Linked DNA regions of Drosophila melanogaster. The protein of the gene in region 1 interacts with the protein of each later gene in a pairwise test. Each region holds a gene or a part of one and is shown in the gene's direction. Other genes may lie near its edges. The genes, in order: CG7236, CG6923, yin and sug.

What was found.
Region 2: the proteins of CG7236 (region 1) and CG6923 interact in a two-hybrid assay, tested with the Drosophila melanogaster proteins (one large-scale study listed by BioGRID).
Region 3: the proteins of CG7236 (region 1) and yin interact in a two-hybrid assay, tested with the Drosophila melanogaster proteins (one large-scale study listed by BioGRID).
Region 4: the proteins of CG7236 (region 1) and sug interact in a two-hybrid assay, tested with the Drosophila melanogaster proteins (one large-scale study listed by BioGRID).

Annotation. Positions count from the first base shown.
Region 1 is NT_033779.5:5,706,480-5,714,295, forward strand, and holds CG7236 (uncharacterized protein), read left to right. Parts: upstream 1-1,911; 5' UTR 1,912-1,969; coding exon 1,970-2,088; intron 2,089-3,470; exon of another isoform or gene 3,471-3,618; coding exon of another isoform or gene 3,619-3,659; intron 3,660-5,423; exon of another isoform or gene 5,424-5,560; coding exon of another isoform or gene 5,561-5,670; intron 5,671-5,758; coding exon 5,759-5,945; intron 5,946-6,002; coding exon 6,003-6,875; intron 6,876-6,936; coding exon 6,937-7,074; 3' UTR 7,075-7,312; downstream 7,313-7,816.
Region 2 is NT_033777.3:11,744,003-11,751,688, reverse strand, and holds CG6923 (uncharacterized protein), read left to right. Parts: upstream 1-1,659; 5' UTR 1,660-1,991; intron 1,992-2,200; exon of another isoform or gene 2,201-2,447; intron 2,448-2,663; exon of another isoform or gene 2,664-2,729; 5' UTR 2,730-2,799; coding exon 2,800-2,899; intron 2,900-2,954; coding exon 2,955-6,331; intron 6,332-6,395; coding exon 6,396-6,520; intron 6,521-6,581; coding exon 6,582-6,750; coding exon of another isoform or gene 6,751-6,777; 3' UTR 6,778-7,206; downstream 7,207-7,686. Other genes in the region: CG43062 (uncharacterized protein), read right to left, coding at 790-1,314.
Region 3 is NC_004354.4:3,868,903-3,873,837, reverse strand, and holds the start of yin (yin), read left to right. Parts: upstream 1-1,898; 5' UTR 1,899-1,967; intron 1,968-3,293; exon of another isoform or gene 3,294-3,520; intron 3,521-3,611; exon of another isoform or gene 3,612-3,885; intron 3,886-4,019; exon of another isoform or gene 4,020-4,023; 5' UTR 4,024-4,073; coding exon 4,074-4,179; exon of another isoform or gene 4,180-4,235; coding exon 4,236-4,321; exon of another isoform or gene 4,322-4,339; intron 4,340-4,658; exon of another isoform or gene 4,659-4,865; intron 4,866-4,935. UniProt on the Drosophila melanogaster protein: Important role in absorption of dietary peptides. High-affinity transporter of alanylalanine. Dipeptide transport activity is proton dependent.
Region 4 is NT_033778.4:12,927,316-12,931,144, forward strand, and holds sug (sugarbabe), read left to right. Parts: upstream 1-1,544; 5' UTR 1,545-1,616; coding exon 1,617-2,026; intron 2,027-2,468; coding exon 2,469-3,213; 3' UTR 3,214-3,329; downstream 3,330-3,829. UniProt on the Drosophila melanogaster protein: Transcription factor which represses a set of lipase genes involved in fat catabolism.

The DNA of each region.
Region 1 (7,816 bases):
CAAGCCCACCCCCTGGAAACTCCATTCCATTGTCTTCGGCGTTTTCAATGCCGGCGCACATAAAAATTCCGGCTACGTTTACGGCGTGGACTACGCTTATAAACAAAGTTTGTTAATATTTCTTCGCCAACGGACGCGAAACTCGCCTCGCATCTCGCGCGTGAAAATCCATTTAGTTAAATGCTCGCAGGATGCGGAAATCACTTTCGAGATTCCAGAAATAGTACGGCATTTTAAAATCAATTTTCCAAACAGTTATTAAATGCTTGTCTATGGACAAATGGTTCGGAGAGAAACGTCTCTGGCTGTTTGGTAACCACCTTCCACTTTTGCCCAGAAGGTAAGTCGAACTTGGCATTGCATTGCATTGAATGGTAACAAAAAGTGCTATCCAAACATTTTTTCATTGTTTTGGCCTAAACTTGAACTTCAAGATTGGCGCGCAGATAGAGTGTTGCCCCTGATATTGTTTTGCTTAACGTCGGGCCTTGTGAATAACCAACCCTACAGTAAATAGTAATCATCGTATGAAAACATTGTGTGTCTCTAACTAACATTTAGATACCTTCTTTGAACGCCTTTGAAACTGACAGTTAAAAGCTACTCAACTTACACAAGATCTAACCAAGAAGCCACAGGACCAAAAAGGACAAAAACTCCAATCAAATTGAATTTCAATCAATGCGAGTATATGTGCACGGAAAAAAAGATGCAGAAGAACAAAAGCGAAAAGAGATGAAATCAAGTACAGAGACATCAAATTGCATTGAAATGCGTTCGGAGCTTGGATTTGTCTCCAACATCAACCCACTTACCATCCGAATTCTGACAGGCCAGACAAGCAGCTCTGAAGGAATATTGCATACTTATGGGAACGGATGATGTAGCGGTTTTTAATGCTTTTGATCCAAGCAGACGAAAACCCTATTTTCGGCAAATGTCAACGACACTTGCGTTTTGCTCGAAAGGAACAGAGGGAAATGTTTTTTTGCTGGAATACATATCTGACTGAAATAGAATAAGATATTGCCCATCAGACTGTAAGCAAATGATTGATACATAACACTTGTACTCGCACACTTGTTCATGAGAAGGTTTTTACAAGTCACATACTTTTCTTTGGTAATTATTGATAAGTTGTTTCAGGAGATGGATAGTTATATAATACAAGACAAGTTCATGATCATGACCCAGGACCCAAGGAGCGCAATTCATGCTGTTCTGGTAGCAATAACAATTTGATGTGTTTCATACATTTCCTAAGTTTATTTATGTGAAATTAGTAAGGGTTTTTTAAACTTTAATCAAGTTTATTCACATTGAATTGCCATGATCCCAAGATCTAAACGTTCATTGTGCTCAAAAAATGTTATAATGGGACTGCTTTGCTTATATCAGCACTTTTGGTGAATGGACTTTTCAACAGCCGCGAATTAGAATCGCGTTTTCGGTTTGCCAGCAGGATACTTACATTTGTTTGGCGCTTTCATGGCATTTGACAGTCGCTCTCATTCCCACAGTGGATGCCAAAACTCACAGGTGCCCGCCTCACCTTACATAATTGAATCCCCGCAAGCCGTTTTTTTCCCTCCAGCTTGCACCACTGATTTCGTGTGCCTCGCTGTGGCATGTGGCAAACTCTGCCTCATTCGCCTGCCGTCGCAACTCTCACTTCTCGCATTATGCGCCTGACTCATTTGCATGTTCCTTTGGCTTCCCCCGGCCGCATTTTTTCTGACCCAAAAAAATCTTAAACAATATGGAAAAGCATTGCCGGCACGAGACACGTCAGAAACAGAGCCGGTTTTTTGCACCTGTTTGAGAAGGAATGTCGCTCCATGCATAAAGTATTCATGATGTCCGTTGCATTTGAAATCATGTATCGATAAAATAAATAGACGAGAGACCGTCGAAGTGCAACTTAGTTATCCTGAGACCCTGCAGCCGTACGAACGCCTGGCGACGTGCAATGTTTCACAGCTCATCGTTCTACTTGCCGCAATCGTTACAGAACTCCTTCCTCTACCGCCTCATTCAGAAGATCCAGGTGTGCAATGAGCCGGACTTAGTTGAGACCAGGCAGTACAGGTGGGTCGATTAGCGCCGTTCGTGGCCCTAATTAGCTTTACCAACTTTTTGCGGAATGAAAGTGAAATGCAGTGCTAAAACGGGCAGAAAGGATAAACTTTTCCCAATGACATTTGAGTCGCTGCTGGTGGAGGTGGTGTTGCAACGGCCTTGGCCTTTCATTTCACACGCATATGCCTGCTTCGTCCTCCAAGCGCTTCAGCTCTGCTATCCCCGTAAGTAGGCAACGCTTTTTGCACAGACCTCGCACAAAGTTTGGGACACTCGGTGCGTGTGTGAGCATTTGGCATTAATGGCTTGTTATTTATTGCATTTTACGCTTGTTTTCCCAAAGGCCACGTCAACACAACCCTTACCAACAACCCGCAATATTTATATGGCCAAAAGGTTCAGGGACTTTACAAGGCGATGTTAGAGGTTTTGCTAAAAAACTTTACTTACTTGACATATTATTGCTATTTTAGCAAGTACAGACACTTGAAATAAACCCACAAGGCAGTACGAATATTAAACATCTAAAAATGTGTGGTTTCTCTAAAAATAAAGACCATTCAGTCTGACTTCAGTAAGCTAAACTCGTATAAGTAAATTTCAATTTTAAGTATCTATTTTAAAGGCCAGCTAAATGTTCCTTTTTCTTAAATAGAAGTGCTTTAATTCTCCTCTCATTCTTATATAATACCCATTACTAAATAAACTTTAGCGCTGCTATATCACACAAATACCGGGGGTCAGTATCAGAATGGTAAATAAACGAAGAGCCATTAAGCTGGGAAGCATTGACCCCAACATTGAGTGCAAACATCATGACAACGACATGAACAAATAATTGCTATGCGCAAACAACTACATAGAACAATAAATACAAAAATATAATTAAAAGCCACAAGAGCCTAGAATAAAGGTAAAATCAAAGTGGGAAAGGTTAAAGTGCTTTCGCGGAAAACAAAAGCTGTCAAATGTATAAGGCAAGCAGATGGTGTTTAAGTTGGAACGGGGTCGACGGGAGTTCTCAGTAATTATGCAAATCAGAAATCAGTGGGGTGCTGTCACTATACTTTCATACACTTCTTAAAGGTAAATTTCAAGGAAATTAGTTACCTAATACACCACACCGGTCAAAGAATTCGTTTTATATACATATACCTTACATATTGCTTATACAGTATGCGTGATTATGGTTCCTAATTTATGTTCGACGCTCACCTTCGTGTTTTTCCACTGCACTTAAATGCATTATTAATGAAACACGCAAGACCAAAACAAACAAAAACATAGGAATCAAAGTCGCCATTGGCCAACGCGGCGTATGTGCGATGTCCGCTGATGCAACCGAGCTGCTACCAACTCCGTCGCTCTCCAAACTCGTTTCTAGCCAAAAGCACCTCAGTCGATTGCCGGCTCTTAACGTCTTCACATCGTGTAGTTCTGCCAAAAAGTTATAGGGCTCTTTGTTTGGCCCAAGTGAAGGAAACACGGAAACAAACCAAATATAGACAAAAGGTGAACTGGAAAAAATTCGATACTGCAATGAAAATGTTTGAGATTTCTAAATTGTTTTCCCTACGAAGGTATGAGCAAAAAAAAAAAAATAAACAAAATTAAAAAAAAAAATTAACATTTATTATTAACATCATAACTTATCTTATTTGCCTGTGAACTGTGAAAGTTTTAAAGTTTGGACAGCTTCGAAAAGCAAACACAATAAGTGACCCCTGGCAAGCAAATTAGCTGCACAGCAATACTTAAGTTATTCAGCCAGGAAAAGCCATCCCTAATACTGTTATAATTGCACAGCGATTCAAACATTAATTAGTAATAAGGACCCCAAATAGAATCCACCCCCGAAGCGCCCACGTAGCGCGTAGTTACGACAAACTTATTGCACTGCTGCACCAGTTTAGCTATATGGAATCCTCCAGCAATCTGTGTCAAAGAACCCGGTTCATAAGCGACTCCCCTGCCTTCTCCTTAGACAGACGACTCCAGCAGGTAACCTCAAAATGTGTAGTGGGAAAGGAGCTGGGAAAGCTGGGAAAGAAGCACACCTTGAATGTCTTCCGGTAGTCGCTAGAAAAAACAACAAAGGGGAGAAACTTCTTGAACAACTTTGGGGGCAACTGCGCATGGATTTGGTTTTGTTGTGGTTTTTTGCTTTGTTAACTTTGGTCGCATTGCTATGACATTGGCCAGTGGGGTGGAGTCGACCTGGTCGACATGGGGCACAGGTCGGCTCTAGCGTTTCCCCCATTCGGTGCTCAGTTGTCAGACAAAACATACGTCCGCTCAAGCGGTCTACCCATTCAAATATTTATTGATCGACAGGCTTGGCGGAATATTCGGCGCATGGTGTGTATCGTAGACTTCCCCCAAAAGACTTTAATCAAATACATATATATATATATATATATGTCCTATTCATTCACAATTCAATTACTAACTCTAGTGGCAAATACGTCAGATATTAGCCAGATGGGTGCCTAGGTAAGTCATCTGCTTGCTACGTTTTCGGTGTCCTGTGTTGCTTTCATTTATTTGTGCCACCAACCAGCACCACCATCATAAGCACACAAATATTTAATTGCATGCCATGTTTATGACCCACACACATGTTAGCAAAAGATGCAGAAAGGCCCAAGCAGGGTTCAGTTACCCCGTTTAAGGTTTTGTGGCTGGCATTGAACTGTCAACCCGTGAAGTCCTCGACCAGACCGGTAATGCCAATTTCAAAGGAGCACGCTCTCGAACACCTGGGGCTACAAAATCGATTTAGTTTTCGTGTTCACGCTAGAAAGTTAATTACCCTCGGTTTCTAATCTAATACTAATGGTACAATTCTGAATGAACAGAATAAGTTATTTTAATCTTATTTTCACTTAAACTGTGTAAAAATGTTAGAATTCATTAGTCCATACACTCAAATCAATGACAATTCCACATAGGGTTATGTTTACTTGGGTCAAAAAAATCGATTTAGTTCTCGTGCTTATAAATGGCAGAGTAGTAATGATTAGGTTGTGTATCTAATGGCAATTGAATGTTTACAATATCGATTTATTTGATTAGCTATAATAGCTGCATTTAGATTGGAAAAAGTTAGCAGGAAGAAGTTTATATTGATGTACTTCGGCACATTTTAATTTATTATTATTACATTTTATTTAACAGTTCCTTTGGCCCACCAAAATTAACGTTTAAACCAAATAACTCATTCTAAAAGTTCTCTCATTTGTTGTTTGTTTCATTCCATCGAAATCGACTAACCAAATCATACCGAATTCGTGAAACCAAACCTCCAAAATGTTCTGGACATCCCCAAAAAAAAACCAAACCTATTCAATATAATAACTTGTACATATATGCATACACATCAAATCGTAAGACAGCCCTTGAAATAATACCAGATCGAATATCAAATCACTTCATACTCGCTCGCATATCCTAGAATGCAAGTTCGCCCCTGTGAGTCCACATGTGTTCGTGTCTGAGGTATCAAACAGAAAAATTCTTGAACATTTTGTGTGCCCAATGCAAAGCAATGCGACGTGCAAACATCAAACGTGGTCAATGTTTGAGCTTAAGGTAAAATCCACTCCAAACTCAAACTGAACGTTAGCCGCAATCGGGGTGGGAATTCCGGAATAACTCATACCTGTTAACTTCCTTGCAGACCACAAGGTAGCAGCAAAATGGATCGCTATGAGAAGCTCAGTCGGCTGGGCGAGGGCTCCTACGGTGTGGTCTACAAGTGCCGGGATCGGGAAACGGGTGCTCTGGTGGCGGTCAAGAGGTTTGTGGAGTCCGAGGATGATCCAGCGATTCGTAAAATTGCACTGCGAGAAATTAGGCTACTGAAGGTAAGCCTTAATAACTTAAATCACTTGAATCACTTAATCACTCGAAATTTCCTGCAGAACCTGAAGCATCCGAACCTTGTCTCCCTGCTAGAAGTGTTCCGACGGAAGCGACGCCTCCATCTGGTCTTCGAGTTCTGCGAGCTGACCGTGCTGCACGAACTGGAGCGGCATCCACAGGGCTGCCCGGAGCACCTGACCAAACAGATCTGCTACCAGACCCTGCTGGGCGTGGCCTACTGCCACAAGCAGGGCTGCCTACACCGCGACATCAAGCCGGAGAACATTCTGCTGACGGCCCAGGGTCAGGTGAAGCTGTGTGACTTCGGCTTCGCCCGGATGCTCAGTCCGGGCGAGAATTACACGGACTACGTGGCCACCAGATGGTACCGGGCGCCGGAGCTGCTGGTGGGCGACACTCAGTACGGCACTCCGGTGGACGTCTGGGCCATCGGTTGCCTCTTCGCCGAGCTGGTCCGGGGCGAGGCCCTCTGGCCAGGACGTAGCGATGTGGATCAGCTCTATCTGATCCGCAAGACGCTCGGCGACCTGCTGCCGCGCCACATCCAGATCTTTGGACAGAACGAGTACTTTAAGGGCATCACGCTGCCAGTGCCGCCGACGCTGGAGCCGCTGGAGGACAAGATGCCGGCCAAGTCGCAGCAGAATCCCCTGACCATTGACTTTCTCAAGAAGTGCCTGGACAAGGATCCGACCAAGCGCTGGTCCTGCGAGAAGCTCACAAAGCACTCCTACTTCGATGACTACATCGCTAAGCAGCGCGAACTGGAGCACGTCAACAGCCTGGAGGCGGCCAATCTCCGCCAGCAGCAGCTCGCCTCCCAGCAGTTCATGCTGGCCACGGCGGCCCAGCAGCTCCAGACGGGTCCTGCTCAGGCGGCGGCCATCGCGGCGGCCCGGGATAAATCAAAGGTGCGTACGGCAGTCCTCTCAGAGGATAATTCAATCTATTAGTATATCCTTTCGATTACAGACTTCAAACACATCACTACCGCTGCTGCCTAGCACGCAGCATCATCATCACCCGCATCAAGATTACGTGAAGCTGCAGCCCCTGAACAAGAATGCAAACCTGCTACATCGCACCGAGCATCATCTGCCCACAATTTGAGTTTGAGCAGAGAATTTGTAACGAAGTAATGTCCTTGAGCGAGAATTGAGCCCGAAATTTAACTTATTTACTGCTGGGAATAAATGTGTAAAAGTAATCCATTAATATATCACTGGGTGGAACGTTCGTAAACACTTGGCAACTCATCCCTTCGGGCCGAACTGAATTAGTAACTAAGTCTAAAGTGCAATTTTCAGCTGTCATCAAATAAAATGTGCTACATAATGTTTTATTCCATAAATTTTCAATTCCGTTAGTCCATGAGATTCGCAAATCACTCCAGGTTAATCTTTAATTCACTTTCCAGTTGCGTCCTGGCTCGAATCCTTTTCAGCCTTGCACACACACGTACATCGAATTAAAAATCCTTGCAGCATGTCGACTAGTCAAACGGTTACATTCCACCTCCAACTCTCACCTACTTGTTGAGCCTGGTCTGGATTACACATTTTTACATCTATTTAACCAGGAGCGGATTGGGAACAGCGGAGCCCTTTTAATAGAACATTTATAATTATATAATGTTATAAGTTCGTTTACTTTATATTTGATTCAATAAGGTCTGTTTTGCAGTCCTTTGATATATATACATGAACTGCTTGATACCCTCTTTTGAGGCTCCGCTCCTGAAGTATTTCATCGTCGACAGATATCGCCTCCTGGCGTCCATACCACGTTTTTTGGCAGCTTAATCCAGTGCTAAGCACACGGCAGATAATCAGCGACACGTATCGGCTTTCGT
Region 2 (7,686 bases), on another chromosome or scaffold:
GCTGCATACACACCAATTCTTCTATTTTTCCAACCAACAGCAACTTGTGCGAAAAACTTCCAAAAAACAAAAACAAAATAAACGAAAAATTAAACTGACCACAAAAAATAAAGTTAAATGCAGACATATGAAATCATAAATGATTGTTCATAATTTTAGCTCAAAACGCTGCTGCCAAAAAAAGTTGCCAACGGCCTCGTTTTGGGTTTGGTTAAAGTTTTGAACATTTGCTAATAATAATAACAGCGTCCAAATAATTTATACTATTCATGCAATGAATTCCTACAGAAGCAATCAAAGTTGCACTGAAACTGAAGTATTGAAGTGGAAACTATCGCTTTCGTTTGTTTGTAAAACTGTGAGGAGTGTTTCGCAACGAAACAAAAAAAAAACAAATAATAACTATGAGTTGAATTTACAAGCAGCGCTGCTTAAAATCCGATAAAACTACACTCAAACAAACAGCACCTTGGTTTAGAAAATGTCCGTTAAGCCAATGGTTAAACTTAAGTCGTTACACTGGTCAGCGCAGCTTTCGAGAAATGAACACCAACGAGAATATGGGGAAATCCTGCAGATAATTGATTAGCTGACCGATTTAATCAAGGAATATTTGTATGAAGCGAATTGGTTTTAAAATTATGGCTAAACAGAATTGGAAACGAAAGCCAAGAGAAAAGAATACGAAGCCAGCAATAAAAGAAAGAGTAGATATTGTTTTATACATATAAAAACTCAATAAAAACACTAAATACATGATATGTTAAGGCTTGTGCTGTGCATATGGATTTATTTCAGGCAGCAGAGAAGTATAACCAGTCCCAGCAGGCAGATAACCCAGTTCAAGCACCGCGTATTGTCTCCAATGGATACCATGTGGTAGGTTGGTGCCTTCGTTTCCGGGAAGTGTAGAACCATCAACTCGGGATTCGTGCTGTTCCTTTGCGTGGAATTTTGCTTAGCCAAGCATTCTTTAAGCAGTCTCTCCAAGAAATGGATCCTTTTGTACACGCACTCGAAGCCCGTGTGGTAATCGTAGACTGATGTCCCATTTCGAATGAATTTGCCCCATTTATCCACTAGAAACCAATCGAGATTGTTTAGCCGGCTTCTCCCAATTGTAATGAAGAAAACTCGAGAATCGTTTTCCACATGGAAAAAGGCGTACTTGTGGTTTTCGTCCTGATTGTGGTAATGGGGAAGAGTATAATACGTTGAAAGTGTCTTTTTCTTTGACCTTCTTTCGTGTATGCCCCGGCACAAAAACACGAATGTCTTATTCTTGATTGGCCAGCATTGTGGGCTTATTCCCATGTTTACATGAAAAGAAAATGAAGGAAACTATGTTTGTGATAGCAAAACTAGAAAATGTAATACAGTTTAATTAAGATTAACATTAAAAACCAGATAATTATGATTCGCAACTTTCCAACTAAGAGTTTCTTTGTATGTATATATTAAGCTTCCCTAAACAGTGGTAAGTAGTGGTAGTATAGTTTCTAACGGTATATTTAGTGCCAAAATATTTGAATTATCAGTGTGGCCATACTGCGCAACTTTAGTCTACGAAAGAGCTAGCTAGCTTCTATGCGATAGTATCGCCATCATCGCCGAACTGCAAGTTTTTGCACCGTCGAAGAAAAAGTTGTCTAAATATTTCAGTTCGGTGTTGTTACTGCTATAAAATCCAGTAACACATACAAAATGATTAAATCGTGAGAACATATATATCGCAAATTTGCATGTGCATAATGTAAATTTGTTCCGGACAGCAGCTGCGAATGAGAATAGTCCCCCGCCCCCGCGAAAAGAATTGCATTTAAACTCCCTTGTGTTCCCCAATAGCAGCTGTTGGCCTGCCAACCCCCACCACCCACTCTCTTTGTTTTGCCCAATCGGAAATCCCCACCCGGTTATTCGCGTAATCCCGGCTTTAGGAATTAAGAAAATTACCAAAATCGCAATATTTCTGTGTTACACATATAATAGAGGTAAGAATTATTTTGGGGACATTTGTTATCATTGAACAGCTGTTCATAGTTTGCCCACAGCCGAACAGCTGATTTGGCGTTTTCCCCAAATTGAAGTCAATAGTATCGAAACATTCAATATACTTAAAGCTGAATGTTATTCGTAAATTTTAATTTAAGTTAATACAAAATAAACGCATCAGCTTAATATCAGCTTAGACATATCGATATGCTGACATATCGATACAACGCTCATCCCTATTGCGTTGGCTAAAATAAAGAACTGCTGAACTTAATTAGTAATAAGTTGTCATAAGTTATTTAGAGCTTCCGTGGAAACCCCCATCATCCCAGTGCATGGAATCCGATAAAAAGTTTTCACTTTTCACTGCGGCGCTTGTGTTTTCCCCACGTAGCTTTGGAATTTCCTGCTAACGGCGATGAAAAACTTGACGGAAAAGTGGTGCTGACAAAAGAGTGTGTATTTGACAAGCAAAGAAAAAATTTCCGTCTTCAAACTTTATTTTGAGCTTTAAATCGTTTTTACTCGCTCGAGAACTGTGCAAATAATAGCCCCGAATTTCCATTTGGAGTACCTAGAGTACATAGCTGGCAATAGCTTTGGAACCCAAATACTTAACCCACTGCTTGTTTTTGTTTCTGTTTCCGGACAAAAAAAGCAAACTGGTCTCTGTTAGACAGTTGTACCTCCTCATACCCGTAAATTAAACATTTTTTCGTACATATACACAATTTTAGCGCATTTTGGCCTGCATGCGCTGCAACGCACCTTTGCCGTTCTGGTAACGTTGCCCACTAGACGACTGAAATGGATAGCTTGGAGAACGACCAGGAGGAGCTGCACCACCAGCCGAGGGTCACCTTGGCGTACGGCAGTGTGGCCACCAGTTCGGGTGGACAGGAAAACCGTAAGCTGGCCATCATCTGGAACCAGATAGTGCTAATCCTCTTGTGCTTTTGCAGATTCCCAGTATGCGATGTACTATAATCAGCAGAGGGATTCGGAGGGCTACATGCTAATGACGCCCTTCCTGTCCAGTTCGCAGAGCCACAGCCACACCCGTTCGCCGCCCACGTACACCGCCATGGTGGAGCCACGTCGCGAAGAGAGTTCTGGATTTGAGGGCTTGGCCAGGCGGTGTGACAAGTGCAGTTCGCTGGACGGACTCTGCCGCTGCGAATCGATGGTGGCCAGTAGCAGTCGCTATGCGGACTCCACACAGAACCAGTCGCATTCGGAGGCTCAGTTCTTGGAGCAGCCCTCATCCTCCACAGCGGCGATCGCCAATCCGCCCGCTGTTCATTCCATTCCACGACCCAAGCGAAAGAAGACTGAACCCCTGACAATGGAGCCAGAGAGTGACAATGACGGCGACGCGGTGGTTGCGTCCGTCAGCGGCACATGGCCTGCCGGTGCTATAGAAGAGCATGCTATGGACTCTACGGCGGTCGTTTACGAGGTCCCCTCTAGTTCGCTGCAGCTCAGCAACAGCTCCTTCGAAACCGCCCCAAGTGCCGTAAATGCTTACGATGATGTGACATCGAGTGCCTCGGACACGGAGCACGGCCAGTTTGCTCATACGCGTACCACCAACACCACGACGACTACGTCTGCCGTTCAGGCTCACAAGAAGAAGGCCAGCCGCTCCAATAATGCCTCCAACACCTCTTCCAGAGCAGTAGATACGGATGCCACGCCAAGCACGAGTGCCCAATCGAGAAAGCGACAGATGAGTCAATTTTCTTATCGCAAATCAAGGGTTTTGGAGCCGGAAAACGAGAGCAGCGATGATGGCTGGGATTTGCGTGTGCATAATCCCGTTCCACCAATTGAGCCCACAGTAACGATTATCCGTGGTAGCAGGGGGTCCGACGAGGCCGAGATAGGTCATACGGATCACAACTACTATAATAGTCGGTGCGCTGTGGCGGGAGCTCCACCGGATAGTACCTACATTAGGTCAGCCTCCTGCTCCACGGCCACCCATACTACACGTAGCGTGGATTATGGATCTCGCATTGGTCGAAGGTCGGCTGCAACAGGATCACCGTCCACAAGCTCGGATCAAGAACAGGAGCAGCAACAGCGCCAACAACAGGAGGAGATTATTCACGAAGAACGGCGTCATCAGCAGTCACCAGGCCAACCCATGCACAGTATGTACGGTGTTCCCGGCGAGTCTAGAATGTCATGGAGTCGTGCGCGGCCCTCTGACGACTCAGTGCCGCCTAGGAAACATGCGCGCATGGAACTGCCCGGAAGATCGCGTTCCAAACTGTCCTCAACGAATTTTAATTCGTTCTATCCTGGAAGGAGAGGACACCGAACCTTTGCGGAGCAAGGGAACAGTTCTGGGCAACATCATGTGCGGTTTCCACCATCCTCGACGCCGAATTCGAACGGGCCCTGTGTGATTACGTACGTCGGCCGGCCAAGAGATAGTCAGCCCGCCGCGGATCTCAATCTTCCGTCCACATCCACGGGAAGACGTGGCAGCCATGAGACCCGCGCCGATTCCGTAGTCTTGACGGCACCAGACTTGCAGCTGGATGATTGGTCATCGGACGATGATGATGATGACGTAGTATTTGTGCACTCCACTCGTGAGCCCATACTCTCAATCGATTTGACATCCGACGACGATGGCTTGGCCAATGATACGCAACTGCAGAGGGATAGGGATAGGGGCCGTGAAAGAGAACGGGAGCGAGCAAGGGATCGGGAACCATATCGTAATGACACTCAACCCAACCCGGAGGATCCAAATGAGGATAGGAGGACCATGTATGACTGTGCTTACACATTCCCCTATGCTCGCAGGACAGATCGTCGTACAGAAGCGAATAATGAGGGCACCTCTGCATTCGCATTTTATAGTGGCGCTCTAGCTGATCGGGCTGCCATTTCGGACCACAATTACAGCTACGAGCTAGACCAGCTGATGGATCCCGGCCCCGGTAATTTTTACCCGCCCCGCTGCTCCAACATGGATCCACAGCGCTACTTCCTTCCGATAAACGAATCCTCGATGTGGATGCCAGGCCATCCCGCTCCCCCGCCACCTCCGCCCCCGATGCCCCCAATTTTGCTGCCTGACAACTCTTCCACTGAGGCATACTTACGTCATCAGCAAAGAAATCTTACATCCACTCCAAGCAGCTCGTCCAGCGAGCAGACATCAACGCAGCAATCCCGCCACAGGCGAAGTAGCCCGGCGAACGTGTATCATCGTTACCATCCGTACTATTATGCGATAACAACGCTGCCAACTGTGGTGGAGTCGGACTACCCGCCGAGTCTCCAGCCTCACCCTCACCCTCATCCTCATTTTCAGCCCAGTCAAGGCGGAAGCAGTCGCAGTTCTTTGAGTGGAGCTTTGAATGCGGCTGCAGTGGCAGCCACAGCGGCGGCGGTACAGGCACAAACTTTTAGTGATTTGCTATCACAGGCCCATAATGAGGGACGTGCTGCGGCCCTGGAAGGCAACCGGACACCTCCACATACAATGGTGCATGCGCAACACCAGCAGCGGCAATCCATTAATCCGCCAGCGCCAGGAGTGGCATCAAATGCAAACCTGGCGGCAGCTGTTTCTCCACCACCGCCGCTTGAAATGTATTCCGGACGGAGCACCATTCCGCACTGCGGATCTCCGCCGTTCAGTGTTCGACGCTCCGAAGCTGCGTATAGCAATAGACAGCACTATCAGCCGCAGCCGCATCAAGGTCACCAGGCACCGCAGAACCAGATGCACGCCCACATTCATCCCCCTCACCGGGCCAGCGCCATAGTGGCCACCTCGCTGACGCCGGCTCCACCGTATCCGGTCCATCAAAATCTGTGGTACCGCCAGCAAAGCATGCAGGAGATGCACCGTCGCCACATGACGCCCACACCTATCGATCTTTCTTCGAATGCTCCGCTATTAACGAGCACGCTGCGAAACGGGTACCTGCATAGCATCTGCAGTTGTGTTCATGCTCGGAACGGTCCCGTATCAAGCCTGGATCCCGCTTACTATCCGCCGTACGACGCTGCACCGGCAGCTGCTGCTCCTCCACCATCTCCTCAACAACAGTCGCCTGCTACATCCGGTTCTGGCAATAGTAGCGTGGCAGCACAAGCGAGTATGCGACATCTGCAGCTTCAGCCCCAACAGCAGCCGCAGGCTCAGCAATCGCCACCAGTAATGCAGCATATGCAGCGCCAGCGGGCCATACACCACCACATGTTCCATCACCACTACTCACCACTGCATCTGGAGATTGGGCTGGCCCCCCTATCTCTGGGCTCCCGTATCCTTATCGCACCATCACGTCCAAACCGGGGAGCTACTTTGGTAAGGCCGTATAGAAATCAAAGTCATACCTATTTATATTAATTAGTTTTTACGTTTATTTCAGGAAACTATTGAGCGGAATACCTTGCCTCACAAATATCGACGCGTCCGAAGACCCAGTGAGACCGATGAGGATGCCGAGAAGTGCGCCATTTGCTTAAACCTCTTTGAGATAGAGAACGAAGTTCGGTAAGTTCAATGTGGACGTTACCTTATAAAGTTCTCTAATTATATTAAATAACAATTGCAGCCGCCTGCCGTGCATGCATCTATTTCACACGGATTGCGTGGATCAGTGGCTAGTCACCAACAAGCACTGCCCCATTTGTCGCGTCGACATCGAAACACACATGCCCAACGACGCTCTTCCCCCCAGCTCCAGCGGAGTCCCAGATGCCGCCAATTCCGCCGCATTATGACATTGTGTGCACGGCATCTTTATGTAAATCCCTCAGACTGAGTTTGTTCTCGGCATGCATCGATACAAGAACAAAGAATGAAATATTCGTAAAAACCCCTATATACATACCTTAAAATGTTTAACCCACCGCAACGTATGTAAAAGGCAGTTGCCACAGCTTGCTGCCGTGTTGCGCTGAAAGATATCAAAAAGCTAAATTTGTTTGGCTCAATTTCTATGTCTAAGTATATTAAGTGATTCGGCAAATAATTTCCTATACATATGTACAAATTGTCTACGTTTTGTGAAACAAAATTCTTGTGATAAGAATTTCATAAATATGCGTATATTGTTATAGTATAGAATTCCCACGACGGGCGTATATGATAACTTTGACCCCAGCTTGTTGTTATATTTTTAATGATCACACAAAATAATATAACATCGGACCCTAAACTTAACCGATTAGAAATCGATTTGGCAATTTGCATTTTTCTTGAGTAATTATTTGAAGGACTTAAAATCTGGACGATTTCCTCTCATTATTTAACAAATTTTGTTATGTTTTGATTAGTCACAAAAATGTAGAGAATAATCTTTTATTCTATTACCAAAGACCCTAGAATAATTCTATTCTATTCTAGTGTCTTTGCTATTACCAAATTATATATAGTACATCTATTTAATTTAATAGATTACGGATTATTGCTCAATATCTCATAACGTGCCATATATAAGTGAATTGATTCGATGCAATTTTTTAAATCTTGAGCTAACATATTTTAAAAAGGTTGGTTTTATATTATAGAAAGTTTCCTAAAACTTTTAAAAATTGGCTGTCTAAGACGGCAGAAATCAATAAATAATCCAATAAACGTCTGTTGATTTTTATTCCACCGATAAAAATACGATACACCTTTATTTCTGTTTGGGGTTTACATATTTTATTTTAAAT
Region 3 (4,935 bases), on another chromosome or scaffold:
CATTGAAATGCAGGCGCACACAGTTGTACAAATTGGAAAATTTGCATCGGTGTAGGCAAGTCGAGTTATTTATTTTTTGAGATTTGAATAGGCAAGTATATAGGCAAGGTTGGTCCGTGCCAATTGACCAAGTTTGGCAGCTCTTTTTTGGGGACCGTCGAAAGTAAATCCACATTTGGACCTGCTCGTTGCTTGTGTTGGAGCCGCTCAAGTGGCTAAAACCCGGGGCCAGTCACTCAAAGTCCCTTATCAGAGCGATTAGATTTGCAAACTGCACACGCGGCCAAGAGAACCGATTATCGTAGTTGCGAACCTGGAGTTCTGAAAATCGTTCGTCCGTTGAGTCATAACTGGCAAGTGGAGATGTATTCCGCCAATTCTTATAACTTGCACGTTACCCAACGGCCACTGATTAAAACTGAAGGGTGAGGAGTATCGAAGTAAATAGGTGCAATAAACTAAATAAGAACACTATTGCAATCTATGGTGAGGTGTATTTTGTGTGGCTTATATAGCATGTCTAGAAATCGAAACAATGAGTAAAACTCGAGCCTCACAAAAATATGGGCCATAAATCTCGGTTCAGTAGTCTGTATAATCGCCACCCCTCTGTAAAAACTATAATTATGCATCTGTGGTTATTTTTAGTAATTAACAATACCATTTTTTTTATCCGTCATGTTGGGAACCCGGAGATCGCTTCACATCCGTTACGCGTCACTTGAAATCGAAGAAAAATATTAAATTTACTTTAAAAATCATTACGTTGTAGGAATGTGCATATGTATAAGATGCATAAACTCAACTTTCTTTTAATTTAACGAAAAATATATGCACATATATGTATATTACGTGTAAATTTTGTTTATTTTTTTCCAATAAGAGACAAAAGAGACAATAAAAGCAAAAAAGTACTGATCCTCGTCTGGAGTTCAATAAGCCCACAAATTGGCTATATTTAAGGGAAATTTCCAATTGCCACTGCGAAATAATTAATTAAACCAACAATATCGCAAATATATCTCATTCAGATTATTAATAGTTTTAATTGATTTTCTGTGTTGCAAATTGATTTTCAAACTGTATAAAAAAAGGAAGCTCTTTCTCTGGTAACTTTATCCTATTTTGCTGCATTGGCCTTTAAAAGGATTTTATTGTTTCGTAAGATCTTTTCATAATATAGACATCAGTGTTTTGATATTGCTTTTATTGTCTCTGGCGAAGCTTTCGGATCGTTATTGCTTTTATTGTTCCATTGCATTCGCGCACTCGTAACTCACATTAAAACATTTAACAACTGCAAAAAAAAAAAAATTGGAACGCACGTCGTTTCGGATGGGATCGGTTTTGAATCGGTTATGAATCGAGCAGGATTGAGCGACCACGTCCGCAAGCGGCGATCAACAGCCTCAGACTGAAGTCGACTGTGAACGAACTTAGCTAAGAAGCCGTTGACGGTTTCGCCGCTCGCCGCTTTGTCGCTTTGCCGCACTGCTCTGCCCGCTGCGACTGCGCGCTTGCTCGACGTCGAAGGATGGCGAAAGGCGTTAGAACGAGCGAGTAGTGGTGATAAGCCTAATCGCAATGTTATCGTATCGACAGGCAAGTGGAAGTATTTACGGCCCGGTGTTCGCTTACCCACAATGAATGGAGCCGCAGCTCGCAGCTCTCGCGATTGTTATTTATGGCCCACAACTACCCACCGGAATATCTGCTTGACATTTCACCCTTCCCCGCCCTTGGCCGCCTGTCAATTTACAGATCGCTGTCCATCACAATTGCTCCGCTTATCACACCTGCCACGCCCCGTCTGTCATCAGTCAGTGGGTGGGTGGTTGCTGTGTTGTGTATAGTGGGCGATGCAGATTGCGCACCATCATTAACTAAATATTTTCATCGCACCAAACGGTTATCTCTGGCCATTACTTGCACGTCTGAGGGATGGGAGCTTCCCAACTTTACCCACCGTAAGTCATGAATCGAAAAGTAGTTTAGTATATGGTCTAAAGATAATTATTTAAAGAGCTACTACGTCTATACGCTGATAAAAAAAAATCAACGCCAAAATAGAAGAGATAATGATGGCCAAGGAAATTTGTAGGGTAAGGAGATCGAGTCAGAATCTTCAATGGCTTGAACTGTGTGTTAATCGGGCAATTAATCATTATTAAATAGCCAAATGTCTTGCTGATATTGGTCGAAAAGTAACTAATCAGCCATTTAATTTTTAAGAAAGTACCCAAACAATTTTTAGAGCAACGCGTCCAGTGTTTAATACTAATGACTTGCATATTAACAAGCTACATGACTTTCTTTTTCAACGCTTTTCCGTGGGCAAACAAAGTTCATACGTATGTACATAACTTAAGACCGAAATGATTGGCAGTATTTTGGCAGCAATACAATAAATTAATTTAAGCTCCTTAAAATGATAGTAATAGGAAAATAAACTATTACAAATCTATTAAGTAGTTTTATGGCCGATAAAGTTATCACATCGGTAATAAGTTTTTGCGAAATAAACAGGCATTTCAAAAGACGTACGTACTTCATATCAGATTAGTCATAAGTATAAGTCATTCAAACGGTGGATAGGTTAATAAATACAACAATTATTTTTAATATTAAAAAGAAAACACCCTAAACTGGGCACGAACTACCAAATTATAGCGAAAAGATCACTTTTAAATGTCGAATTTTTGTCAAAAGTTATAATTCAGATTTCCGCCACCTTAAGAACAGTACTTTAAAAACAACATGGGAAATAGTTGGCCTTATTTGAAATACAATATCTCGTTGAACTCGTAATGAAATTTCTAATCCATAGGCATTCAAGGCCGGAAACTTTCGAAATTTGTAGATTTTCGCTGATCTTCATTATGTAACCCCTTATGAAGAAATGAGAAAATTTGAGGATACTTTACTGCGACGCCTTAAATAGGAAATCCATAATGTAACCTATACCATCTAACCCCGTTTGGCTCACCGCTTTTGATAGGCATCTAATCGGAGGTGGTCACAAAACTTTGTGGCATTTTTGTTTTATGAACTTAATCGCTGCGTCGATAGCTGCGAATAGTATTTATGGCCGCCTATCATTAATGCCATGCCCAGAAACAAGTATAATACATCTATTGGCCATAGCCAATCGGCCGATCTGCGATAGTCCGTAGCACGACATTGTTATTGTTATTGTTATTGTTAACCATTATTGCTCAACGAGAGGCCCTGACTGTGCGACAAGTGAACTTTTTGTTTTGCTTCTTGCTTTCGATTTTACGATTGTCACTTACTTGGCTACAGATTGCATGGTGTCTAGTCTTCATAATGCCAGCTATGCGATCGATTGAGTAACACTTAATTAAAGCCATCAAGGCATTGGGGGTCTGTGTGTCGATTGAGCGGGTTGCGTGTTGACACACTCAGACATCGAGTACTCGTATCCCCGGCCAGCTATTATGCATCCCGTATCCATGGATTGTGATGGCGTTGTATCTGGGCGAGAAACTCTTCGCTCAGCCTGGGGATTACAGTTAAGACCTTATCAATTAGCAAACTGGTGGTCAAGCGGCGATAGGGTATCTTCGATTAAATCGCACCTACCAACCTACCTAATAGGTGGGCCAATCGCACAACTCGGCACGCGGCTTACCGAATCGCACTTTGTGCCGATTAAGTAATCGGCCTGAAAAGGCGAAGCGAAAGCGAGATATAGACGATGTCCTTGCCTAAGATAGCCAGATAGTCAGATAGCCAATCGTACTCGTTTCTTAGGGCAGTGCTTCAAGGGGCTCCGATCTTCAGATATGGGTACTTATAGATCTCAAGATCTCGAAGGTCCGGAGTCCGATATCAATGATGATAGGCGATGAAGTGTTTGCCCAACTGATTAGATTTGTACATGAAAGATATAAAGACGTCATGTCAATTTCAAAATTACAATTATATTAAATATTATATTATAATACTATAAAGATCCCCCATAATTATTTATAATCTAAATAAATAATTTGTTATACTTAGGGTAATTGTCCGTTGCCTTAGCTGTCAGATATCCAGGCTACAGCTCAAGCATGCTTCATAGACAGCGGAATCCCGAATTCTCTAGCACAGCCACATCCATATCCAGCTCGAGCTTCGAATCCAGTCACCTGATGAGCAGCTCTGAATTCAGTCGCGGTAAGTGCATCACCAGTTTTCCAAAGACCACCCACATATATATGGACTTTCTGCAGCTTGGCACTTTGCCCGCTTTCGTGATAGGGATGATCGATTCCAGCACATCCACTTCGCCGAAGATGACCGCAACGGTTTCGAAACGGTGAGTCTGAGTGCTGGACTAAAATATAGTGCGAAATTGACAACCTTTCAGGCACATGTATCTATATATTTCCGGAACTGTGCAATCTTGTGGTATAGCGCGGCGTTTTCGTGAAAAACCTAAGCAATCTCGACGCGAAACAATAGCTAATGCGGACCATAAATATTTACAGCTGGATAGATTTATGGCTGCCTGGGAAAGTCCAACAAATTACTCAAAGCCGTAAAGAAAACAAACATAGATAACAGGCACTTGGCACTCGACCATTTTGCACGGCCGGGGGTTTAATCGCCAGATAGGGGATAGGAATATGATCGAGATAAGATCGATTCCGTACCTGCCAGCTCATTGGCACAGCTTAAAGAAAAGCGAGGGGATAACCACAAGATTCAGCGCAGATAACACAAGATAACGTTAAATCGCAAATAGGATATGGGTTTCTAGAACTATATTCTCTCTTTAAGAACGCCAAACGACAAACAGTTGCCACAACAATGGCTACAAGCTGGAATACTGTGGGTGCACGATAGGGATGCACATTCCACAAGCCTTCTGAAACAACAGGAAACACTGCTCGCACAAATTAGAAGGAATACAGCTGCTCCACGCCCGAT
Region 4 (3,829 bases), on another chromosome or scaffold:
TCACGGGACCAGACAGCGCCTCCGCCGCGCTGATAACGACGATAGCTTTATGGCTGGCTGATAGCTGATTGCCATAGCCACCACCCAGCAGAGCGCAACTCCGCGTCCCGCCGAACCATTCGCGTCATGGCGCACCAAGTTTTCGGGCCAAAAGATATGGTACCATGGCGGCATGTGGCGGCGTTTGTTGACTTGGCGTGAGATAACCAACCACCACCACCTTATCGCCGTCCCAGACGCAGCGCCCACACACTGAGGTGAAACCGGCGGGCGAACCCAAGAATGAATTTCTGGGTTTTGGGATCGTACGCTTGCATATCAAACACATGTGGGGGAAGTTTAGTATTTCTGATAAAGTGATAAAATTATAAATGAGAATGTGTGTGGGGTTTCACAAAGCTCAAGCTAGAAAATATCACTTTTGTTTTCAGTGTACTCAAATCAAATTTAATAAAATTAGCGTGATTTCCTTATGCAACACATCAGTTGGGGTTTTATATCCATTATAAAGTTCGGAATTCAAGGAAGCTTCTAAGCTTTAACTTTATAAACAGCTATTAAGCTTAAAGTCTAATTTTAACTTTGTAATAATAAAACATATTGAGAAATTGAGAAATATATTACAGAATTGAAATTAAGTGGCTTCCACGAAAGTTTTTATCCATTTCCCTTCAGAGTATAGGAATCACATAACGATTCAAATTGTCTGCTTAAACTTTTGATTCTTTGTCTCAAAACTATAACTATTTACTTTTTAGTCACAAGCTCGAATATATAGTTAGGTCAGGAAAACAATTAATTGTTTTATTAATAAATCTATTTATGGAAATTATGCAAGGCGATCTTATAGTGGCCTCTTTGTAGATTCTAGAACTAGCCATTCTCAGGCAAAAGATCTAGATGCGTCTTCAGACGTATTAGTCCATTCGCTTTTCTCTGAGTGCACTAGTACGGCTCCAAGAGTTGACGTACCTGTTCCAATGAAGGGGTGCGATTCGGATCGGGAGTGGGACTCGGATCGGTACGCAGGGTGGGGTGCGGCAGGGAATTCGCTACGCGGTACGAAGTGCAAGTCAGGCAGGCAGGCAGGCAGACGGCACCGGGCGATAAGACTTGCCCCCCAAAGAGCGATCATCGGGCACACACATGTGCCTGTGTACATATGTGGACTGGCTGGCTGGCTGACTAGCTGGCTCTCCACTTGTGCGTTGATAAGCGGGCCCAGACCGTACCCTGGTCGCCCCCCAGTCACCCATCTGCGTCGCAGTCCATCCAGCACAGAGTTTCACTCACGTAGTGTGTGCTTTTGCCCCAGATCCATTTGCCCCAGCGGATTTTTTTCCACCGCTCCACCGCTACGCACCTGCTCCTCGGCGCTCCACTGTTTTGGTTCCGTCTGCCGCCGTCTGCTCCCCCTGCCCCTGCCACGCCCCCGCCGGACCCGTCTGCAGCCTTCGAAACTGATAAGCATACCCTGTCCGTCTGGGCGACCCCTTATCGCCGTCCAAGTTTCGCATATTACCCGAACCTCTGCAGGCGAGCGGCTCATTCGATCGGCAGGCGCTTTAGCGAAAGCAACAAATTTTCTCGATCAGCACCCACCACAGACAACAAACATGGATATAATACAAAAGTCAATCTTCAACAGCGGCCCACACAGCAGAGGCATCTACGAGCCGCCTCTCGGCTACTTTACGCCGTATAACACACCACCGTACATAGCCGCCTACTCGGATTCCGGCAGCTGGTTGGCGGATCACCACCAACACCACCAGCAGCAGCACCAGCAGCACCAGCAGCAGATGCAGCACATCAGGTTTCCCACGCCGCCCATCACACCGCCGCGTCCCATCGCCGGATACGGATATCGTCAGCGCACCCAGTCCGTGATCATGAAGGCTCGTGGCCAGCAGGACGAGCTCTGCCGCAGTCCAGTGGAGTTCCCCGACGACAGCAAGTCCTGCAGCAGCAGCAGCGAGTGCGGCACCGCCAGCGATTTCGTATGCAACTGGACAGATTGCGATAGGTAAGTGTCAACTGCATTACAGAATTATTGTGAAAATTTCAAAGAAATTTCCTAAAGGGGTCTCAGCACTTTCGTAATGTTTTTTAAAAACGAAAAAAAAACTCAGCATTATATTTTCTTTTGAATTTTGAGTTGCCAGAGAAAGACATTGAGTAGTTCTAGAAAAATATAAAACACAGTTCCCCCGCGTTTTACCATTGAAACTGATTACGCATTCGAAAGAAATAAAAAAAAAACCCCGGAGGCAGCCTGGCATTTGCTGAACTGTTGGACTCGACTTTTTGATAAACCCTCCAATAGCGATAATAATGTGATTTTGGGTCAAATTGATAGAGATGCAGTGTATTGTTTATGGTCAGCAAGTGTATTAATATTGGATAAGAAATCAATCCAGTACATGTTATTTTCGTACTAACCACTTATATCCCTTTGATCCTTGCAGAGTTTTCGACACCTTGGATGCACTGGCACAGCACGTGACCCAGCGACATGCGATCGCCAGCCTGACAGACGGACTCTACTATTGCCGCTGGCGGGGATGTCAGCGCAGCGAGCGAGGATTCAATGCCCGCTACAAGATGCTTGTCCATACCCGCACCCACACGAAGGAGAAGCCACATCGCTGTCACCTGTGCGAGAAGTCCTTCTCGCGGGCGGAGAACCTGAAGATCCACATTAGGTCACACTCGGGCGAGAAACCCTACAAGTGCAGCTTCGAGGGCTGCCAGAAGGCGTACTCGAACTCCTCGGATCGTTTCAAGCACACGCGCACCCATTCGATGGAGAAGCCGTACATGTGCAAAGTGGCCGGCTGCCAGAAGCGCTACACGGATCCGTCCTCGCTGCGAAAGCACGTCAAGACCTTCAAGCACAGCATCCACCTGATCGCCAGCCAGCCGCTCACTCTGCCCAGCGTACCCTGTCTCCTGGAGGCCAGCAGCGAATCAGCGTTCACGTGTCTTCCCGCTGCCAGCAGTGTGGAGTCCACCAGCTCCTCCTCATCCGCCCGCTACTACGATGACTCCAACAATGAGCCCAGCGATTACTCGCTAAAACCCAAACAGGATGCGGAATTCTCGCCCAGCTATTGGCTAGGCGATAGACAGCATAGCTATCTCCACAGCGAGGACTTCTTCGTTAAGATGGACGTGGAGTCACCGCTCGACCTGCGCATCCATCGAATCTGAACTGGCCAATCGGTTCGCCTCTCGTCTCTCTTCCCCTTCTAGTCATTGCGCTGTTTCCCAGCTCTTGTCACCACACCTAGATTACTATTTAACGTGATTAAAGACTGTTGTAATTGAACTGCTCTAGTTTGGCATGGTGGCATGGGAGTATCTTCGGGATTGATCTGATCTAGGTTCCTTCATAGTGGTTCTGGGCAAAAAGAGTATTTCAAAGATTTCGAAAAACCATAAGCTCAAGGTATGGGAAAATCCCCAGTTACAGGCGATTCGTCACAAAACTAGTGACCAATCTTAATCGACTTCGATTAGAATTTATGATCCAGACAACCTTTGTTTGGAGGAAAATCCCCATTTCGAATGGCTGGGCTAATAGAGCGCTAGATATTGGAAAATATTTATTGTTTAAATGCGCATCTAGACGAGTTTTTCACACAACTGTTAATAACAGATTTAATGTTTTTTTTTGCGGTTTATAGGAATGTTAGTTGATCTAGATAACCTCTCGTTTTTATACAAACAACAAGAACAAACAAAATAAATAGCAAAAGTATTTCACATTTGAAATAGATGAATACACTTTAAAAGCGATATCAGGTTTTACACTATATATAGGCAT